3 linked regions of the Sus scrofa genome follow. The protein of the gene in region 2 purifies or fractionates together with the protein of the main gene of each other region. This does not show direct contact. Links are inferred from orthologs where the notes say so. Each region holds a gene or a part of one and is shown on either strand. Other genes may lie near its edges.

Region 1 (6,837 bases), on a different chromosome or scaffold from region 2:
CAGGTGCCACCCAGGAAAGATTTTTCTGCAGAACATCAATCTCTTCAGGATTGTCATCCACATCCTGACTGGCGTAACAAAAAACTTCTGGGTGTTGAATGGTTTCATCCTTCCTTCGAAGAGCGACGGCTTCTTCTGTTTCATGGATCAGGTCTTGCCATGAAGCAGGACTTTCTTCCTCAGGGTCACTGCTTTGCTGATATTCCTTCACCCAGGAGAGCAATCCTGAAAAGCTGAAACTAGCCCAGTTTCCTCCATAGTAACTTCTTGAATCGAGATGCAGAACCCGACGACCACTTCTGGAACATGCAGCTGCAAGGATGGATTCAGGCAAACCGGTCCCTAACACGATCACATCAAACTCTGCTGGGAGACTGCTGGCCATCCTGGAACATCAGACATCTGGTGACAACTTCCAGGGAAGGAAATGTGCATGAGTCTAGGCTGAGGGCTCAGACGAGGTGCAAAGATGCTGGAACACCTTGTACTGTTCCAGATCACCCCAGAGTGCCGAGGGTACAGGTCCTGGGTGTTTGTTACCCTTTTTAATATCTTTTTTTCCTTACAGGTCAGCAGCATAAAACCCTGCTGAAGTACATCCAATCACACCTGAGAACACTACAGCAAGTATATGGATCTCACGTCGGCGTTTCGTCTTAGCAGCGAATGTCACAACGTGTCACACGTGCTTTTGTGACTGGAACCCTTCTCTGAAAGCAGAAAATTCAAGAAAGAACACTGTGGTCAACAGTATTGAGAGAAAGTAACTTCATGCAACAGCAAGTACAACCAGTGGAGCCAGACGTGTAATCAGGACATAAACCTCTACTAAATCAAGTCCTTAAATGCTTCCTCATGTTTCCTAATTTCCTGAAAATGAACAAAAGATAGCCATTTCACCAAATTAGGCAATTCAACAATGAAGAATGGACATAATAACATCCAACAAGAATAAAGAAAAACTGACATAATTTCGTAACTTTTGCTAAGCATGTGAATGACACACAACTGTGAGATTAAAGGAACTTGTGGCTCCACTGTGTTTATGGACACCGACTACGTACTCTGCGCACACTGTCACGATGAGGAATATTTTTACGGCCAACACGGTCTACGGGTCATTCTAGGACAGATGAATGGAAGGCTTTTCTTTATCCCACCTGCCTTTAGGATCTCGTGGTAGCAACATGGGACTATTTCAATTGACTTCGCCGCTCAGATAATTACAAAAGGATTAATTTCAATAAAACAAGTAGCATTTAAAAATATTTAGGTACATGAAACAACTGGTCTATCAAAAGGAAAATGTATGTATACAAATCCTCATACGTGTATTTTTTAGATGTAAGTAAAAAAGGTAAAGGCCTGGGTCTGTATGTTAAAATGCCTTTTTTTTTTTTTTTTTTGCTTTTTAGAGCTGTACCTGTGGCATATGGAAGTCCCCAGGCTAGGGGTTGAATTGGAGCTGCAGCTGCCAGCCTACACCACAGCTCACGGCAACGCTGGATCCTTAACCCAGTGAGCAAGGCCAGGGATTGAACCTGCATCCTCATGGATACTAGTCAGGTTTGTTACCAGCGAGCCACAATTTTCTAGTTGGCTTAGAAAATTCCTTCTGATTGGGGTGGGACCAGAGCAGGGATGATGAGAGAGAGAAAAAGGATGGAAAAGACGAGGAGACACATCAGGGTGGGGCTGCAAGATGGAACGGATGAGGAAGAGGGGGACGTTGGTACCAATAAAGACCCCAATACACTCGTCTCCAAGCTCCCGGGCACGGAGCTGGAATAGAAACAGAATTTACCAGCACAAAGTCTTTCTTGTAGATCAGAACTTTCACGTCTGTGACCCAGTATCTGCCACTGAGGATATGTCAGGCTCTGCATGAACGGCCCTCTTTAAACCTCAGCCTTGCCTGAACACTGCCGGCAGGCATCAGACATTAATATAAAGAGTGCAATCTACTGCATCTATAGCAACACCTACACACACCTATAGCTTCCTCCCAGGTTTCAAGTCTTATATAGTTGAAGTTCTCAGATTAATGTTTATTGGGAAAGGGTTGGTATTATTAGAATATCAGAATCACTGAGGCCATCAAATAAGTGAAATTATGATTTCTACGACATTTTCTTGTTTCCTGCAAAATATAAAAAAAGAGGGCTTCCCATTGTGGCTCAGCAGGTTAAGAGCTGGACGTAGTGTCTGTGAGGATGCGGATTCAATCCCTGGCCTGGCTCAGTGGGTTAAGGATCTGGCAACGCTGCAAGCTGTGGTGCTGGTCGCAGATGAGGCTTGGATCCAGTATTGCCTGGCTGTGATGTAGGCTGGCAGCTGCAGCTCTGATTCAACCCCTAACCTGGGAACTTCCATAGGCCACAGGTGCAGCTATAAAAAGGGAAAAAAGAAAAAAAAAAATATATATGTAGGTATGTATTAAGGAATCATAACATACATAATATTTGAGTTTGTTACCACATAGGTTAGTGATTATCAATATTTTGATAATGCTACAAAGGTTTTGCTCTTCTAAACCTGTTAAGATAAAAGCAGTAATAAATTATTAGGGATTTTAGGACTTTTTAAAAGGAAACTTACGACCTGAGAAATATACATTTCTATTTCAAATCTTTGTATAAGTGAAACTTCTGGACCACACACACAAAAATAGTTTCTTTCCCAAGCTTGGAAAAATCACATCTTCAATGACACGTTGGGTAGCTCGTCCTTTGAAATGTCAATCTCAGTGAGATTTAAATCTTCAATAGGAGTAAGAGTAGTTTTTTAAAAAATTTCAGGGAGTTCTCGTCATGGCGCAGTGGTTAACGAATCCGACTAGGAACCATGAGGTTGCGGGTTCGATCCCTGCCCTTGCTCAGTGGGTTAACGATCCGGAGTTGCCATGAACTGTGGTGTTGCAGACGCGGCTCGGATCCCACGTTGCTGTGGCTCTGGCGTAGGCCGGTGGCTGCAGCTCCGATTAGACCCCTAGCCTGGGAACCTCCATGTGCCGCGGGAGCGGCCCAAAAAATAGCAAAAAGACAAAAAAATAAAAAAATAAAAAATTTCAATTAACGATCAAGTTCTAGTTTAATGAAATCTACTGGCTGCATAGCTAATTATCTGTCCATTTCAGTAGGGGTTCTCTGAGCCATTTTTGCAATCTCGCCTTATATTTTGGTGTGGTGGAACCTATAAGGAGGAAAATATAGTAAAAATAGCTTATAGAGCACAATTTGCATTCTGAGGACCTGAATAAAACTATTTCACTTCCTAGAAAGCAAAGGTTTACAACTGATAATGAGCATTTTAAAAAAAAATTTACACATTGTTGCTATGTCAGATTTCTACCTCTCATTTTAGCAAAATAATATATGAATTAAATCACTTCTCATCACCCTCTCCAAGTTTCACAAATACTACCACTTTTTTTCTTGAAGTTCTTGACTTCACCCTCTCGTTTCTTTCCTCAAAGTGTCAAAACCACTGTCTCGGGCCCTACTGAATTAAATCAGGAGGTGAAAGCAGACAAGTGAGATGAGCTCCCGAGCAGGTGATTGAGGAGCTGCGGCAGCAGGCTGGGGTCTGGGTGGGCGAGGGGCCTGGGAGCACGGGGAGGGGCGGAGATCAGCGAGCGAGGAGGACCGGTGGAGGGAGTGAGGTCTGGGAGCGGATGAAGTGAGGCGGGGAGGCCGGAGGAAGAGATGTCGAGGCGGGGGAGGCGAGGTCAGGAGAGCACAGCCTCTAGGTCGGGGCGCAGAAGGAGGCGGTCTCCGCCGGCACTCACCCTACAGGCTGCTGATGAAGCCGTCTCACGCACCATCCGCGCCGCCCCTCTGTGGGGCGCGAAAGCCACCGCGGCCGCGAGAACGGAAGGCAGCAGGTGGCGGAGGCTAACGATGAGCAGGGGGCGCCCGGCGAAGCGGGGCTGCGGAGCCGCTGGAATTTGAAGTAGAGGACGAGCAGCAGCAGGATGCTTCCGGCGCAGCAGTGCCCCGCACCCGTAGTCGCCCCGATAGGCGGCGTGAGGGCCCCACGGCGCCCTCGCCGCCCCGCCACCTCTCTGGGTGTGCACGCCAGGCGCCGGCGCGCACCGCTCTGGTTGGGGCTCTGCGCGGGGCTCTGCGCACTCAGAGGTCCCCGTCGCCCCTTTCTGCCCCTGCGCAGACCGCTGACGCCGCTCGTAACCCCGCCCCTTCCCGCCCTGTAGCCCCGCCCCTACCCCCTCCCTACCGTAACCCCGCCCTTTCCCTCCCTGTAGCCCCGCCCCTACGCCCCTCCCAGCCGTAACCCCGCCCCCTAGCGCCCTGTAGCCCCGCCCCGGAGCACCTCCCAACCTTAACCCCTCCCCTGCTCGCTGTCCAAGCTGCTTCCTGATTCGCCGGGTCCTCTCCCCACGCCCTGAGGTCCCCAGTAACCCGCCACCGCCGGCACAGTCCGTGGGGGCCTGGAGGCAAAGCATCGCCGGGGGCTCCTCTCTCCGCAGCCCTCCTCACCCAGCTGGAAGGGCTCTCCTCTTTCCCCACTCACTCCCTCATTAAGGACCATTTATGGCAGGATCCTTTGGCTTCTCCCTCTCCGGGAAGCTGTTACTACCCGCTCGCGTACTGCACACTTGAGGTAAGCCCCGGCTGCACCCCAGGCCTGCTCATTTTGCCCTTGCTGTCCTCCATGCAGGGGCGCTGTGGCGACTGAGGCGGCGCCCTCGAGCTCCAGCCCACATCTCGCAGTTGCAGAGAGGTGGGTGCTATACCTGGGGCAGCACCTCTGGCCTTTTACCCAGTGAAAATAGAGGGCAAGGCAAGCATAGGTCCCGGAACTGACCGTAGTCTTTGCGGGGTGCACAGTCCTGAGCTGGTCCTACAGGCTGTCCTGGGCGCCGCTGGCCAGCACTGTGCCTGTGCAAGGGCGAAGGAACTGCCCTCCACGAGGGAGTGTGTCTCCCACCTCCATTAGAAGATCCCTAGAAAATTGCTAGCTTCACTGAACCCCGGTTTTGTGGGCCTTGGAGATATAATCTAATTGTCAAGACAAGGTTACTTCCTATCATGGTGCATGGAGCAATAGCTGGTGATTTTTTCTTAAGGCTTCCGATCTGGACTTGTCCTCTAGGGGACTCACCCACCCAGTCCTTTTAAAAACTCTAATTTTATATTTTAGATTTATACAACCATTTAACAAGCTCTGTGCCTAATATCCGTTGTGTTTACAACATGTGCCTAGTCTACAGTAAGGTCTTAATAAATAGTAGTTTGATGCATGCTTAAATGAAGAGGGACTCTGTGTTTTTTCCCAAGGTATTCATTCATTCTTTCATTGGTGCTGAGTTCCTGTCCTCATAAAGCTTATGTTCCAGTCGTGTTGGGAGAACAGATGATAATCAAATATGTAGTGTTGTGAAATGTGCCATAAAGAAAATAAGACAGGAGCTCCTGTTGTGGCTCAACAGGATGCAGCCACTGTGACTGCAGTGGCTCAAAAAACATGGATTTATCGTATGATCCAGCCATTCTGCTTCTAGATATATAGCCAAAAGAATTAATTGAAAGCAGGGGCTGGAACATGATTTTGTCCACCAGTGTTCATAGTAGTAGTATTCCCAATAGCCAAACGGTGGAAATAAACCAAATGTCCATCCACAGAAAAATGGATACACAAAATGCGATATGTACATACAATGAATATTATTCCATCATAAAAAGAAATGAAATTCTAATACGTGCTGCAACATAGATAAATCTTGAAAACATTATGCTAAGTGAAATAAGCCAGACACAAAAGGACAAATATATGATTCCGCTTCTGTGAGGGACTGAGAATAGGCAAATTCTTAATGACAGAATGTAGAATAGTTCAGGGCTGCGGGGAGGGCGGGATGGGGAGTTAGCGGTTCACGGGTACAGAGCTTCAGTTCGGGAGGTTGTCAAAGTTCTGGAAATGAAGAGCGGGGATGGTAGCACAGGTAGATAGTTGATTATGCCACTGAACTGCTCACTTAAAATGACTGAGATGATAAATTTTATGTTCTGCATATTTTGCCACAATAAAAAGCATTTTCAGATTGTGCCTGCATCTCATTCTGTTAAAGTAGGAGAAGCGTGCAGATGTAACCAGTTTACTGAGTGAGCTGGACTCGGTAGGTGCAAGTGAAATGAACTTGATCTCCAATATCTTTTTCCAGCTGTTCTTCAGTGCCCTTGGTTGACATCTTAGTTCTCAAAGCCTTTCTGGTCACTGTTAAGGCATATAAATTCCACAGCGTTGTAATATTGAAATGTAAAAACTCATGGAAAACACCTGTTAACCGTCCAAAACGGAGCCTGCTGTGGCCTGGAGAACCTCTGGGGGGTAAGGGAGGGGGATGAGTGTGGAGGGAACAGCACACACAGCTCTTCCCATTTCCCTACCATTACCTTTATTTTATTTTATTTATTACTCAATGAATTTATCACATCTGTAGTTGTACAATGATCATCACAATCCAATTTCACAGGATTTCCATCCCACAGCCCAAGCACATCCCCTCACCCCCTAAACTGTCTCCTCCGGAGACCATAAGTTTTTCAAAGTCTGAGTCAGCATCTGTTCTGCAAAGAAGTTCCGTCTGTCCTTTTTTCAGATTCCACATGTCAGTGAAAGCATTTGATGTTGGTGTCTCATTGTATGGCTGACTTCATTTAGCATGATAGTTTCTAGGTCCATCCATGTTGCAAAAAATGCTGGTATTTCGTTCTTTTTAATGGCTGAGTAATTTTGTTCTTTTTAATGGCTGAGTAATATTCCACTGCATATATGTACCACCTCTTCTTGATCCACTCCTCTGTCGACGGACATTTA
Region 2 (6,729 bases):
GGACTGGCTAACAGAGGGCAGGACAGGAATCATCTGTGGGAACTGGGAGCACCTGGGCATCTCTTTGTAGGGTGGGCAGACTTCAGAGGTGGAGGAAGTGGGAAAGGACCATCCAGGACAGTGACAGAGGAGTGAGTGCGTTACCTCGAGGCAGCGCAGGGCAGCCAGGGCTGGCGGTAGCGCTCGGAGACGATTGTGTGACAGGTCAAGGTGAGTGACCAAAAGCAGCTGTTCCAGATGGCAGAGCACCGTCAGATCCTGAAGAGGGGGGATGAGACACCCAGCGAGACCTGGAGGAAAGTCCTCAGCCACCATTTATTGGGCACTTGCCCTGTGTGCCCCACATAAGCCCCTGGGGATGCCAGCTGAGCACAGGATGGGGCAGGTAGGGAGCTTACCTCACACCCCCTGGCTATGTCAAGGACAAAGGACAGATGTGAGTGCAGCTGGGGCTGGGGTGGCCAGCAGAGCGGAGGGAGGGGGCAGATACAGGGGTGGAGGAGGGTGCTGGGATAGACACAGACCCTGGCAGGTGCAGGCCGGGTAAGTCTGGGGGATTGCTTTGGTGGGAGCGAAGGTGGGCAGCAGTGATGGGACAGATCTGCTATGTCGGGAAGACTGATTGGGAAGGACTACAAAGAGAGGAAAAAAAGAATCTGGAAAGTTCGTCAGAAATCTCTGGAATCTATCCAGGCTTTGGGGTTGGTGCCTGCTCCAGGGAGAGAAGCATGGGGATGAGCTGAGGAAGACGAATCCAGAAAGGTACCTGAGACTGAAGACAGAGCCAGGAGCTGGTGAGGGTCTCAGCCGAAGCCCAGGGAGTGGACATCAAAGCCAGCCAGCTGGGAGGTGAGGAAGAGGGCTGGCCAGGAAGGCACATGCGCAGTCCCTACCTTGTGACCCAGATGCAGCACGCGCACGTCCGCGTACTCCATCTTGAGCACGCTGTTCTCCAGCAGGAACTTGCTGCGCAGGTCATCCAGGTACGCGGCCCGCATCGGGTCCACTGCCTGGCAGGGAGGGGGCCGACAGGGAACGCGTGTCAGCAGCCCTCCTGCCCATTGGGGCTGCCCTACACCGGTTTCCACAGGCCAGACTTGCCTTGAGGGTCTGGAAGTACTGCAGCGTCTCCTTCTCATACAGCAGGGGGTCCAGCGCCCGCATCAGCAAGATGATGGTGAGCAGGCACCCTGGGGAGATGGCAGGGAAGAGGATGGTCTCCCTTGGATCCTCCTCTGCTCCCATCCTCTGGAGAGCTGCCCTGCTCTCCCCAAGGGGCCCCCAGAAAAGGGCCTCCCTGGAGGAGCAGGATCTCAGGGAATTGGACCTCACATTTATTCTCAGGCTCCAGCTCCTGCAGCTCCTTACAGGATTCCAGCTCAGACTGCAGCACCGTGGACTTCTCCACTGACAGCTCACACCTGAGGGTGGAGGAAGTGGGGGAGGGGGTGATGCCCACAAACAGCCCTGGGCACCAGTCCTCCCTAGTATCCAGGCCAAGACCATCTGCTTAAGCCCTCAGCCCCCCCGCCCCAGCTGCCTGATGCCCAGAGTCCAGAGCCTTGCTCCTTGTCTGTATGTTCCCTGTCATCACCTGAAGAGCTGTTCATCTGTGGCTGAGTCTCGGCACCAGCCCTCTTGGCGGCCTGAGAGAAAGAGTAGGTGGAAGGAGGGGACACCCATGAGAGGAGGAGAGGAGTGGGGGGCTGCTGCGAGAGGTGGAAGCTGCAGGCTGTGTCACCTTTTAAGAGCACACACTCCTTCTGGGCATTGCCTGCTGTCCAAATGACACGAAACGTATGTTGCGGCAAATGGTCGTTGAGGGAGGCGGCAGGCAGGTCACAGAGCTGGGAGCATGACGTTAAGGAAAAGCCCAGGCTGCACCCACTTTTCTGACTGTCCTATCCCAACCCTGCCCCAGCACCCCCAACTCTGCCCCACCACTCCTGGGATACCCAGACATGGCTAGGCCGGTTCCTGCCATCTGGGGTCCTCCACTCCACGGACAGGGGTGACTCATTAACCATGAGCAGCAAGGTCTCCGTGCTGGGGCCCACCTGGCACAGAGGACAAATGAGAGACCCATCACTCCAACAGCACCAGGCCCCCAATCTACGATGTTCTCCGGTAAAGGGTGCAAGACTCACTAGGAGGGGCCGGGAGAAGGAGACAGTCAGACAGGCCTCATCCCGGCTCACGTGCAGGCAGCGCAGGGCATCCTGGGGATCAGCTGCAAGGGAGACAACAGGCTTCCTTATATATTCTTCCATTTGTTCCAAGCTCTAATCACTAAGCCTCTTTCCCCACTGCTCACCTCGTCCCAGGAGCCAGCGATGGTAGAACCAGGCACTCTGATCGTTGGGGTCAGTGAAGAAGGCGTTCTGCACCAGCTCCAGCTCTGTGGGGGCCAAGGAGATATGGGGCTGTGGTTGGGACCCTGCTGGGCTCCTGGCCACCCCGACATCCCACCTCCTCTTTGGAGAACCTGCAGCCCTCAGTTTCACTTATACGCTGGCCTTGCCCAGGGGCTACTACATATGTCAGTTTTTTTCTTTGCCATTGGACACCTGAGCTTGCTGCAGCCAGGGGCTGGATCTTGTGCACCCTCAGAGCCAGGCACAAAGTGGGTACTCAGTAAACCCAGTGGCAGGTTCGGAAACAGGGCTAGGCATCAGGGCTGGAAAGGCGGCACTGCACAGCACCCCCTGACTCTGCTTACCTTTGAGCAGCACATCCTCAGGGAGGCGCCCCTGGGGTCCAGAGTCTGGCTGGGGGTGCAACTGGGGCAAGAGGCAGGAGCGGTAATGCCAGGAGGAGTAGTTGGAGAAGTTTCGGGTGATGAGGCTGTCCGTGAAGGCTAGCTCCTCCGCGGGGGGGACAGCTGCCTGGGAGGCCACAAACCGCCGGTAGTCCCAGCAGTGAACTGCAGGGGAGGGCAGACGGCACATCTCAGATGCAGGGCCAGAGGAGCTCCCCGGTTGGTACCCGTGGAGTTCCCTTGGAGGCCCTGAGAAACACTTCTACGCACTCCACGGAGGATGCATTTGGTTCCATCATTCATCCCTTTGGCCATCAGCTCACTGGGCCTGTCAGGCCATCCCTGCCCACTCTGGGCCTTACTGAGGTGCTGTACCAGGATGTGGGGCAATTGAGCCCTGTGGGGACAGAATCTGCAGGCACGTACAGTTCCGCTCATCAACCTCGAGGAAGCGGGCACACAACTCCAGCTCCCGGGCCCAGTTGGGCTCTGGCAGGCGACCCAGCAACCAGCAGCGGTGGTGCCAGGTACCATAAGACTTGGGGTTCACCCTCAGACAGCTCTCCAGGAAGCCCAGTTCTGCCTTCACCAAAGCGGCCAACTCTTCCGGGGACCTGCACCCAGAGGGGAATGAGGGTCAGGGCCCTCCAACACCCAATCTCAGCTCACCTCTGACTTTTTGCACCCAGCCCTCCACTGCCTTCTGCCTATGCCTCGGCTGCCCCATTCGTCCTCTATCCTTGGACCCAGGTGGGGCAAGGCCAGAGCCATCTTCCCTGGGCCCTGAACCCCTACGCACTTCTGGACCTCCAGCCGCTGAAGCACCTCCCGTCGACAGTTCCAGAGTGTGGCAAAGTCAGGGTTGGCTCCCAGAATCTGGCTTGTCAGTTCCAGCACTGACTCATCCAGCTCTCCAGCCTGACGCTGAGAAGATAGACAGCAGGGTCAGAGATCATATCAATCTCCCACCACAGGACTGAAGACCATAAATAGAACTACAGACTGTTCTGTGAATCCCACACTATACAACAGGTACTCTACAGAGCACTATATGGGTTTCCTCGTATTCTTTCGTTTAATTTTAACAACAATCTTAAGTGTAATTATTAGCCCCATTTTACAGACGGGCAAACTGAGGTCCAAAGAGATTTAATAGTTTGCCTAAGGTCACACAGCTATTAAGTGATAGAAACCAGATGTGGATCCAGGCGGTCTGACTCTAAGGCCCAGCTCTTGGCCTCAGTGCTGTACTAAGGGAGCCGCTGCAGGAGGGGGCTACGTCTGAGGGCCCCACCTTCTGGAAGACGGTCTGGGTGGCTGTCTGGTATAGCTTCAGCTTCTGTTCCCGCTCTAGCCTTTTGGCTTCTGCTTGCTCTTCTGATGTCTTCACCTTCAGGCGCCCGTGCTACAGGGATGCGCGGGTTGGACGAGAACAGGCTGCCTTGCAGGGGCAAACCCACCAAACCCCCACTGCGGAGTCTCAGGTTTATATCTGGCAAGGCCACGCGGGGCAAGGCCGTGGGCATGGGCATGCGGAGGAGAGGGGCTAGGTTCAGGGTTCTCACCATGGTGCTGGCTCAGGTTCAGGGCAGGGGAGGGTCCAGGAGCGCCCGTGAAATCTGAGGAAAGAAGTGTCAATCATGGGAACCCCGCCCCTGGGAGCCCCGCCCCTAGCTGTCCCCAGGAAGTCGCACGCGAGCCTGGGCGGAGACCTCTGGGGTAATAAGGGGTCCTGGGACAGGCACTGCAAGTCCAAAAGGCACCCACCGAACTGGGGCTTGCACCCGTGCGGCCCTATCCAGAGTCCGATCCGCTGGGGCTGGACCCAATCTGCCGCACTTAAGTGATCGGGACAACTCCCCACCCAATGGGTGCCGCTACCCGCCTGCCCCATAGCTCGCAAGCACCGCCGCCCCCTGCGCGCGGACCCACCTGTACTGCGAGGAGGACTGCGGAACGCAGAGATGCGGCGCCCGCCAGCGAGCCCAAACGTTGGCTAGAGCGGCGTCACGCCTCGGCTCTCTGAAGCGCAGCGCCCTCTGCAGGCCTGGCGAAGGGCCTGCGGCGGAGCCGGCAGTCCGGAAACGCCAAGTCTCAGTCTGTTAGGCCGCTGGTGCGAAAGCAGTGCGGTCTGCACTTCCCGGCAGCTCTTCAAAGTGTGTTTCAGTTGAAAAGTTTTCGCCACCAGCCGGAAGCCCACGCCGTTATCGCTCGCTTGACCTCACTCTGGCCGCACTGTACACCTCTTAGTTGCCAAATCTAAGGGATGGGCTTTCCTGTCTTTCATTGACTTTTGCATCATTTGTTGTTGTTGTTGTTTTTAACCACTTTTCTGGTCATGGTTTTATTTTATTCTATAAATGATTTTTATTTTTTCCACTATAGCTGGTTTACAGTGTTCTGTCAATTTTCTACTGTACAGCAAGGTGACCCAGTCACACGTACACATATACATTCCTTTTTCTCACATTATGCTCCATCATGCTCCATCATAAGTGACTAGATAGAGTTCCTAGTACTAGACAGCAGGAGACTTTTGCAGCATTTGATGCAACTGACCTCCCTCGGACCCCCTGTCCTGGCTTCTCCTGCACACTTGCCCTCCCCTTCTCATCTGTTAACTTTCTCCTCCCCTAAATGTGGGTTTCCAGGGCCCTTCCCTCACTCCTTTCCATTTTGAACACCTTCCCGGGAGAATGTTCACAGACCCAAGTCTTCAACTGCTTGGAGCTGGAGCTCCCCAGAGTTCTATCCTGGGTCCACAGAACTTCTGACCCACAATTTCCCTGGGTGACTTCATCCACAGTCGTGGTTTTAATTTCTACCTGTAAGTTTGATGACATTCAAACATGTCTCCAGCCCAGATGTCTTGCAAACTTTAATATTAGAAAAAAATATACACACAAACACACATTCACAAGCTTATTAGGTAGCACCTAGTTGTCCCATCAAACTCCAAAAGTTGAGAGATATTACTGTCTCCCCTTCCAGTCTAAACTTTAGCCTTTATGTTTCCTATTTTAGTGGATGACCCCCCCCAACATTTCTTTAGTATCCTTCCATTCCCACTACATTAAAAACTTAAGCATATTTATTCCTGGGATTGTTGAAAGTCTTTTCAGTGTTCCCCCATCTCCATCCTGTCCCCTCTTTTATCAGTTCATCCCTGTGCTGCTGAATCAGTCTTTCCGAAATGTAAATTCAGTCATGTTACATCTCTGCCTAAAACCCTTCCATGGCTCCTGACAACTTTTTAGGAAAGACTTTGAACGTCTCAGGTCAGCACATCAAGATTCTTGGCACATGGGACTTGCTTGCCCCTCGGGTGTCATGTCCTGCCTGTCCCTGTTAAAAACCCTTCATTACAGCTGATAGAAGGACTTGCAGTTTCCCAGGCATCTAGTCTGTTCCCTCTTCTTTATTCTTTTTCTTCCACAGCCCTTCCTTTGCCAGAATAACTCCTTTTATCTTTTTTTAATTTTTTTTCTTTTCAGGGCCACACCTGCAGCATATGGAAGTTCCCAGGCTAGGGGTCAAATTGGAGCTGCAGCTGCTGGCCTATACCATAGCCACGGCAATGCAGAATCTGAGCCACATCTGTGATCTACACCACAGCTTGCAGCAACACCAGATCCTTAACCCATTGAGTGAGGCCAAGATTGAAACCATATTCCCACAGACCCTCTGTCAGATTGCCCACAGTGCAGATCTGCCAGCTACAATCTTACATCATAGTCACCAAGGGTGGAGGAAAGGGGGTAGAGGAAGACTGAATAAGGAAGCATGAAATGTTTTTTAATGGTTAGCAATCCTGAAACTAGGAAGTTTGAGTCAAGCAGGCTTAAGAGAGGAAATGAGTCTCAAATTTGCTTCCAAGAAGGTGGGTCCTGGTTTTGGAAAGAAGGTAGGAAAGGCATTTTAGGCATGTGCTATGACAGGAAGGTGGGGGAGTGAAAGCCAAACAGACTTAG
Region 3 (6,935 bases), on a different chromosome or scaffold from region 2:
GAGCAATACCCCTTGTAATTTCCCCCATGCTTATTATTTTTGTTATGTCATTTCTTTCCCCACAATCTTTAGCAATAAAACTCTTAAAGCAAAAGGATCTATGTGTTCATCCTCTGAAGGAAAAATGTTGAGTTAGTCTACTCCACAGCCCATTTAGGGGAAGAACTCCAAACATAGTATGTATGGTGGACTTTAGAAAGGAAAGGGAGGCAGGGAGTTCTCTTATGGCTCAGCAGGTTAAGGATCTGGCACTGTCACTGCAGTGGTTTGGATCACTGCTGTGGGGCAGGTTTGATACCTTGCCTAGGAACTTCTACATGTGTGGGCTCAGTGGGAAAAAAAAAAAGAAAGAAAGGAAAGAGATGCAGAATAATTCTCTATATGGTCTTCAGAAAGCAAGAAGGATGCAATGAAAAGCTCACATTGACTTAGAACGGCTCTGAGGATATCAGGAACCTCAAACAGATCCTCAGAATAGGCAATACAGTAAATATCACAAGGGCCAGGACTAGGTTCTCAGTCAATATGGACTGAATACCCTACAAAAAATGAGCGTCTGTCACTACACTAAATGGTCCCAGGCCACTGTACATTCTGATGTAGGTTTGCCTTTCAGTTGTCTCTCTCCTTACCCGTAAGGATATGAACTAACCCTTATGTCTAATGACACCCCCACACACACAGAGCTTTTGCAGAAGTTGATAACATTTCCTATATCTTAATAGGATGCTTCTAATATGCTCTGAGTATGCTAGAATTATTTCTAAAATAAGAATGAATATATTCTAAGTGAGAGAAGGAGGGATTCCCCTATGTAAGAAACATGCCAATATTATCACCTAACTCTTGTAACTTCCATCTTGCCTGCCCTTCTATTGATGGCTCTGCTGCAGATTACAGATTATACAGGTTGCCAGATAAGTTACCTCCAGAGAGGTGTTATGTTATTAGGACTATTTTTAACCTGTAACCAATGATACTTCTCTGTAACCCACAAAATTATCATTCAAATAAATGTCTTTTTAAATGGCAAAATGTCAAAAATGACAACTGTGCACCCAAACTGAAGGCCCTTTTCTAGACACATCACTGCATCCATTATTGTTCTCTCCTTTGAGACTCCTTTTGGCCCTCCTTTCTTATTCCATTTGCTTCCATATTTTCCATTTCGAGTACTTTATCTTATTCCTCTGCCTTTGGGTACCTGAGAGATATTTCCTGTATTTTGTAATCAGAGGGTTACTTAACAAGAGAATATATACAAAGCTTTATTTTCCCATAATTTCTTCAAAACATAATCTTAAAGAAAATGTTTTATTATGAAGAATGAAAATATAAATTAATCAAGGTCAAAGGGATTTATAATATTAACTATAGATTATTTTACTTGATGAAGCAATTGTCTCAACATTTTAACTAGAACTAAATCTGTTTTTAGTTCTTTTTCTCTTAAAACTGCATCTCATTGCCTATTTCTTCATGTTTCTAATACAGGCATGATTAATTCCACTTTTGTTAATACAACTGAATCTTTAAAATACTACTTTTTCTATGATTTACTCAAGCAAGCACATTTAGTAAGGCAAAACATTTTATTTATTTATTTTATGTATTTATATTTATTACATTTTATTTTTCTTTTTTTAGGGTCACATTTGTGGCATATGGAAATTCCTGGGCTAGAAGTCAAATTGGAGTTGCAGCTGCCAACCTATGCCACAGCTACAGCAATAGAAGATCCAAGCTGCGTCTGTGACCTACAGCTCACTGCACCGCCAGATCCTTAATCCCCTGAGGGAGGCCAGGGGAGGAACCCATATCCTGGATACTAGTCCTGTTTTTAACCTTCTGAGCCACAACGGAAATTCCCCACGCAAAACATTTTAAAGGCTACTTTCAGCAAACTATTTTGGAAGATAAATATTCCAAACACATTAAAATAATTCTTGTTAATTAATGACTGGGGTTACTGGATTCATTTATTTGGGAAATGACTTTTACCCAATTTTTCCACTTTGACATACCTAAAAATAAAGCTACATATCATAAATTTGAGTAATGTACTTGATAAAAATGTGTTCATTAAGTGATATGAAAAACTTTTAACTTCAAATAAGTTTTCCCCATACTTTGAGAAATAACTTTACTCTCATGGAAATAAGTCTAAGATGAATCTTTTCCCAAATATCCAGGATGCCTCCTAATGCAATTTTCTGGATCAGTCACAGAATCTTCCTAACTCTCTTATTTTATGAGATTCCAACAGGATGGATGTAGTCCATATTATAAACTGAACTAGATGGCAAAATATTTCTTATATAAGAATTAACAGCACTTAATAATAAGAATTAGCACTCATCAATTAAAATTTTAATCAAGATAAGAAAAAAATCGCAAGGACTCAAGGTAATTTTTAAAACACCCTAAGTTCTGAGGTAGCAACAACAAAAAAGGGAGTAACATAGGACCCAAGTATGGATAACAACTATTCTAAAGCAGATGTTGTTCCAAGTTTTAGGATAGACTGGAGAGAATAGAGTCTAACTGAACCCTTCCAGCTCTCATCCAACATCTGTTCATAGCAGCTACAGCAAGGTTATCTGTAGCCATGCGGTGTTCAGGTTGAGAATAAATATGTCCTTGCTGTTTTGAGAACAATTACCCATGTACAAGAATAAGAGAATTTTTAGTTAGACAACACCTGAAAGGCTATCCAGTAAAGCCTTCCTATATTCAAAAACAAGGAAACTGAGACTCAGAGAGATTAAGTGCCTAGCTCTAGAAATTCACACAGCTAGTTAATGGCCAAGCAGGGTCTAGAACCAAGTTTTTCCAATTATTTCTATTCATATGGGTTAACTCTGAGGGTCAGAACCACTTATTCTCATTCTGGGATGGAATGGGCCTTTGGAAATTTACCAGTTGTGTGATCTTATGCAAACTGCGATCTCTCCAAGCCTTTTCCCCTCCTCTGTAAAGTGTAGATAAGACCTATTCTAACTAGGTTGTTGTGAGGATTACATATGGCTTGTAAAGTGCTTAGCACATCAATTAGCCAGTAATACACAATCGAAAATAGACAGTTTTATTATTTTTACTCCCGACCTGGAAACATGGCCACTCCTACTATTTGAGAAGACAATGAACTGAATTCATTAACACAATGGACAGGGTCTCATACACCAGAGCTTCTCCAGCCTACCACGTTCTGCAGACAGGAGAAAACCCCTCCCTACAAACTATTTCACTCCATCTAAAATCCATCCTTTACATTGTTAAAAACAATACATGAACTGCTGCCAAATGTTTTCTGCCACATGCTGTAACGTGTAATTTGTCAACTAGAAATTGAAGGGGAAGTTCTGTCACCACCCAAAACATGGAGAATAAACGATGGGGAAGAAAAGGGGGAAGATAAGATCACACACCTGAACTGGACACGCTTGTTCTCAGCTAATTTAGCTGTGGGTAGATAAGTGAGTGGTAGAAAACAAAACGCTTTCTTTCAGCACCATAAAGCAGGAATAATGGCTACCTCAAAAAATTACAACCCCCTAGGATTCTCAAGACAATAGAAAAGAATCCATTTCCTCGCTTTAGTAAATTAAAACGTACATGGGCAACAACTAACACGCTGTATCCGGGCTGCACTGCACCCTAAAACTTTATAAATATATGAAAAATTCCTACGAATGGCGAGACAAAATGATGGGGAGGATCACCTTGAAATCCACAAGAAGGAAATCATAATGTCATGCCAAAGGTGTCTCCATTGATAAAATCCCAACCCTCCATTCTCATGACACTGTACACCCACCTCCCTCTAAGGAAATTACAGGAATCACCCGCAGCAACCAACCTCGGCAATCGGCATCGACCAGATCGACCCCTACTCAAATGGCGCTAAGCACAGCCGGTCCAAGCCCCTCCCTGGAGCTGCCAAGTCCCGCGCTGACTCCAGACTACCTCACTTCCTTTCCGTCCTCCCTCTTATGCTCGACCCCCAACATTTCTCGCCGACCCTTGCCACTGACAGAGAGGGTAGGAACGGGAAAGACTTCCTACAGTTTGTCCAGGGAGTACCATAGCCACACATACCCGTCCCTATTACGATCACATCAAACTCCGAGGGGAGATTTTCCGCCATCTTGACAGGAAATGTGTCATGTGACTATTGCTAGGTGGAAATGAGATCAAGTTAGGCTTTGCAGAGGCAGAAGGCGGAAGGGGAAACAGTGCATTCTGGGTATTGTAGTTCTCGAGTGGCAGGTCCAGGTAGAAAGCTACAGCGTTATAGTTGAAATGTTTTACACGAGTGTTAAAAGCTGTATTCATTTTTCGGGCTAAGTGCAGTCGCGACTTTAGCCTGGAGTTTTGAGACACAAAAGAGATTTTTACTCTGACGGCTAGGATGAATGTGGGAAAACCTGGGAACCCCATGACACTGATGAAGCAAGAATTGTTAGGAGACAGGGAGGGCACAGTGAAATTGAAAGGGGATTGCTCTGTGAACAAAGGAAATTTTAATTCCAACCTGGAAACTGTTGCTTCCATCTTGTCTCTACTTTCGTTTTGGCCCCCCAGGCATAATTTTTCACACCAATACCTTCAAACTCTATCTGTTATCTTTTTGTCTTTAGGTCGCCCAAATGAAAAGCCACAAAAAAATTTTCACCCTAGTTTCGGCAGACTGGAACTCTCACTGCGTCTGTATTTGTTTTAGTTAGTCTAAACAGCCAACCTGGCAATATATATTTGCAAAATTAGTCTTGCTTTACAGAAGGAAAAAAAGATATGAAGGCATAGTAGTTGCTTCCTAGGCATTGATTGATTCTGAATATGGTTTTACATATATATATATATATATATATATATATATATACAGGAGTTCATACAAGATTCCCCCAGTAAGGTACCGCCTAAATGATCAAGGTAAAGTGAACATATATATATATATATATATGCCTTTTTCTTTTTTTTTTTTTTTTTTTAGGGCCGCACCTGCAGCATATGGAGGTTCCCAAACTAGGGATTGAATAGAAGCTACAGCTGCTGGCCTAAGCCACAGCCACAGCAGTGCAGGTTCTCAGAGGCAGCTACGACCTATACCACAGCTCATGGCAACACCAGATCCTTAACTCCCTGAGCGAAACCAGGGATCCAACCGACAACCTCATGATTACTAGTCGGATTCGTTTCCACTGCGCCACAATGGGGACTCCACAATGGACTTTCTGTTAAAGTGATTGTATTTGATGAGGGGGCTTAGATTGCCTGTGCCAAGCAGCTAATGCAACTCTCATAGGTATTTTGAAGTTTGATCTCCTCCCACCTGCATCCCATTTCCGTTATTTAAAATGCTTTGCTGTCTGACAATACCAAAGAAAAAAGAGAGGGAGAGGGTGCATGGAGTGAGAAAGGATACTTCTTTAATTCCAGAAATTCATTGTATAGTTGTTTTACAAGAGTGTCAAAATCATTCAGAGAATGCGATGGTGGGCCTTCCCTTAAACCACCGGACTGACCTCTGTGTTGTTTATGGTTCTTCAGTCACACTTTGTTCCTTCAGCATGGAATGATCTTCCCATTCTCTGGCTAACATTTATCCCCAAGATTCAGTGCTGCTTCTACCACCACCTCCTTACATCTCCTCCCTATACTGGGTTACATTTCCCTTCCCTACCACTTGGTCATAACCTCCCACATTGCACTGAAAATTATTGGCATTTATGTTGGGTCCTATACAGGACACACATGCCCCAAAATATACACCCAGGTATACAAAACCCTAAATTATAAGCCCCTACGTGACAGGGATTGTCCCCTATTTCTCTTTTTACCCCCTGCATCTAAAATAACTCTCGTGTGTAGTAGGAATTCAATAGTGTTTGCTGAACTGAGCTTGGTTCTAATAGATGGTAAGTACTGTGGAGACAAGAACTGAGTCTACACTTTTTTTTTTTTTTTGTCTTTTTGTCGGGCCACACCTGCAGCACATGGAGGTTCCCAGGCTAGGGGTCGAATCAGAGCTGTAGCCGCCGGCCTACGCCAGAGCCTAGCAACGCCAGATCCGAGCCACATCTGCGACCTGCAGCACAGCTCACTGCCACGCTGGATCCTTAACCCACTGGGGAAGGCCAGGCATTGAACCCGCAACCTCATGGCTCCTAGTCGGATTCATTAACCACTGAGCCACGGTGGGAACTCTGAGTCTACACTTTTATATCTGCCCATCATCAGCATGTGTCTTATATTTTGATGATACTCAATAGTTATCTTGAGTTCCATAAAAATTCTTTAATACTGTATTTTATTGGATTGTTTTGCTGCATTTTTTGTGTTTTTGCCATATCAATAGTAATATTATACATGTTGTATAAACATCTTTTATGGATTCTCTTGTTGTTTTGATCAATTCTCTTGCCATAGGGTCCTCTCATAAATATTTTGTGTAATAGAGATTACTCTGAAAAGTGAAATGTATTGTTCAGTAAATCACTCTGCCATTTGTCTTGATACAAAAAGAAAGTTTTGAGTAGTATCAGAAGTGAAATAGATCTTATCTGTGAGATCTGTGAGACTCTAAAACCAGCAGAAGAAATGAAAATTAATAGATTTCCCAGGGTAAACCAGGAAGCTTTCCAAAATTTCCTCTAACAGTGAGAAACCATAGATGGGTAGTTAAAAACATGATAAATAAGAGTATTTCTGTCTTACTTCATACAGGTGTGTGTGTGTGTGTGTGCACGTGTGCGTGCATATCCTTTTCAATATGACTGTATCTAACTTTCTATGGATTCAGAAAATTCCTAACAAATATAATCACATTGTGAAGATACAACTCATTAAATCGTTCAATTTTCCTTAAATATTCATTGAGTACCTACTATGTGCAAGGCACTGATTTAGATGCTGGAATTACAACAATGAACAGA

Evidence for each region. Proteins that work in one complex are often made in the same cells at the same time.
Region 1: the proteins of RABGGTA (region 2) and CHML purify together in Homo sapiens (co-immunoprecipitation; 3 studies listed by BioGRID and IntAct, counting the BioPlex papers as one, with this or other methods). This does not show direct contact. The link is inferred for Sus scrofa from reciprocal best matches to the Homo sapiens genes RABGGTA and CHML.
Region 3: the proteins of RABGGTA (region 2) and CHM purify together in Homo sapiens (co-immunoprecipitation; 4 studies listed by BioGRID and IntAct, counting the BioPlex papers as one, with this or other methods). This does not show direct contact. The link is inferred for Sus scrofa from reciprocal best matches to the Homo sapiens genes RABGGTA and CHM.

The regions. Positions count from the first base shown.
Region 1 is NC_010452.4:11,832,817-11,839,653, reverse strand, and holds the start of CHML (rab proteins geranylgeranyltransferase component A 2), read right to left. Parts: upstream 4,183-6,837; 5' UTR 3,788-4,182; intron 711-3,787; 5' UTR 386-710; coding exon 1-385. UniProt on the Homo sapiens protein: Substrate-binding subunit (component A) of the Rab geranylgeranyltransferase (GGTase) complex. Binds unprenylated Rab proteins and presents the substrate peptide to the catalytic component B.
Region 2 is NC_010449.5:75,019,770-75,026,498, reverse strand, and holds the start of RABGGTA (geranylgeranyl transferase type-2 subunit alpha), read right to left. Parts: upstream 4,372-6,729; 5' UTR 4,327-4,371; coding exon 4,324-4,326; intron 4,164-4,323; coding exon 4,053-4,163; intron 3,683-4,052; coding exon 3,558-3,682; intron 3,373-3,557; coding exon 3,185-3,372; intron 2,924-3,184; coding exon 2,720-2,923; intron 2,399-2,719; coding exon 2,315-2,398; intron 2,231-2,314; coding exon 2,148-2,230; intron 2,058-2,147; coding exon 1,956-2,057; intron 1,848-1,955; coding exon 1,742-1,847; intron 1,647-1,741; coding exon 1,595-1,646; intron 1,422-1,594; coding exon 1,333-1,421; intron 1,191-1,332; coding exon 1,102-1,190; intron 1,011-1,101; coding exon 894-1,010; intron 259-893; coding exon 145-258; intron 1-144. UniProt on the Homo sapiens protein: Catalyzes the transfer of a geranylgeranyl moiety from geranylgeranyl diphosphate to both cysteines of Rab proteins with the C-terminal sequence -XXCC, -XCXC and -CCXX, such as RAB1A, RAB3A, RAB5A and RAB7A.
Region 3 is NC_010461.5:69,062,103-69,069,037, forward strand, and holds the start of CHM (rab proteins geranylgeranyltransferase component A 1), read right to left. Parts: upstream 4,183-6,935; 5' UTR 4,148-4,182; coding exon 4,099-4,147; intron 1-4,098. UniProt on the Homo sapiens protein: Substrate-binding subunit of the Rab geranylgeranyltransferase (GGTase) complex.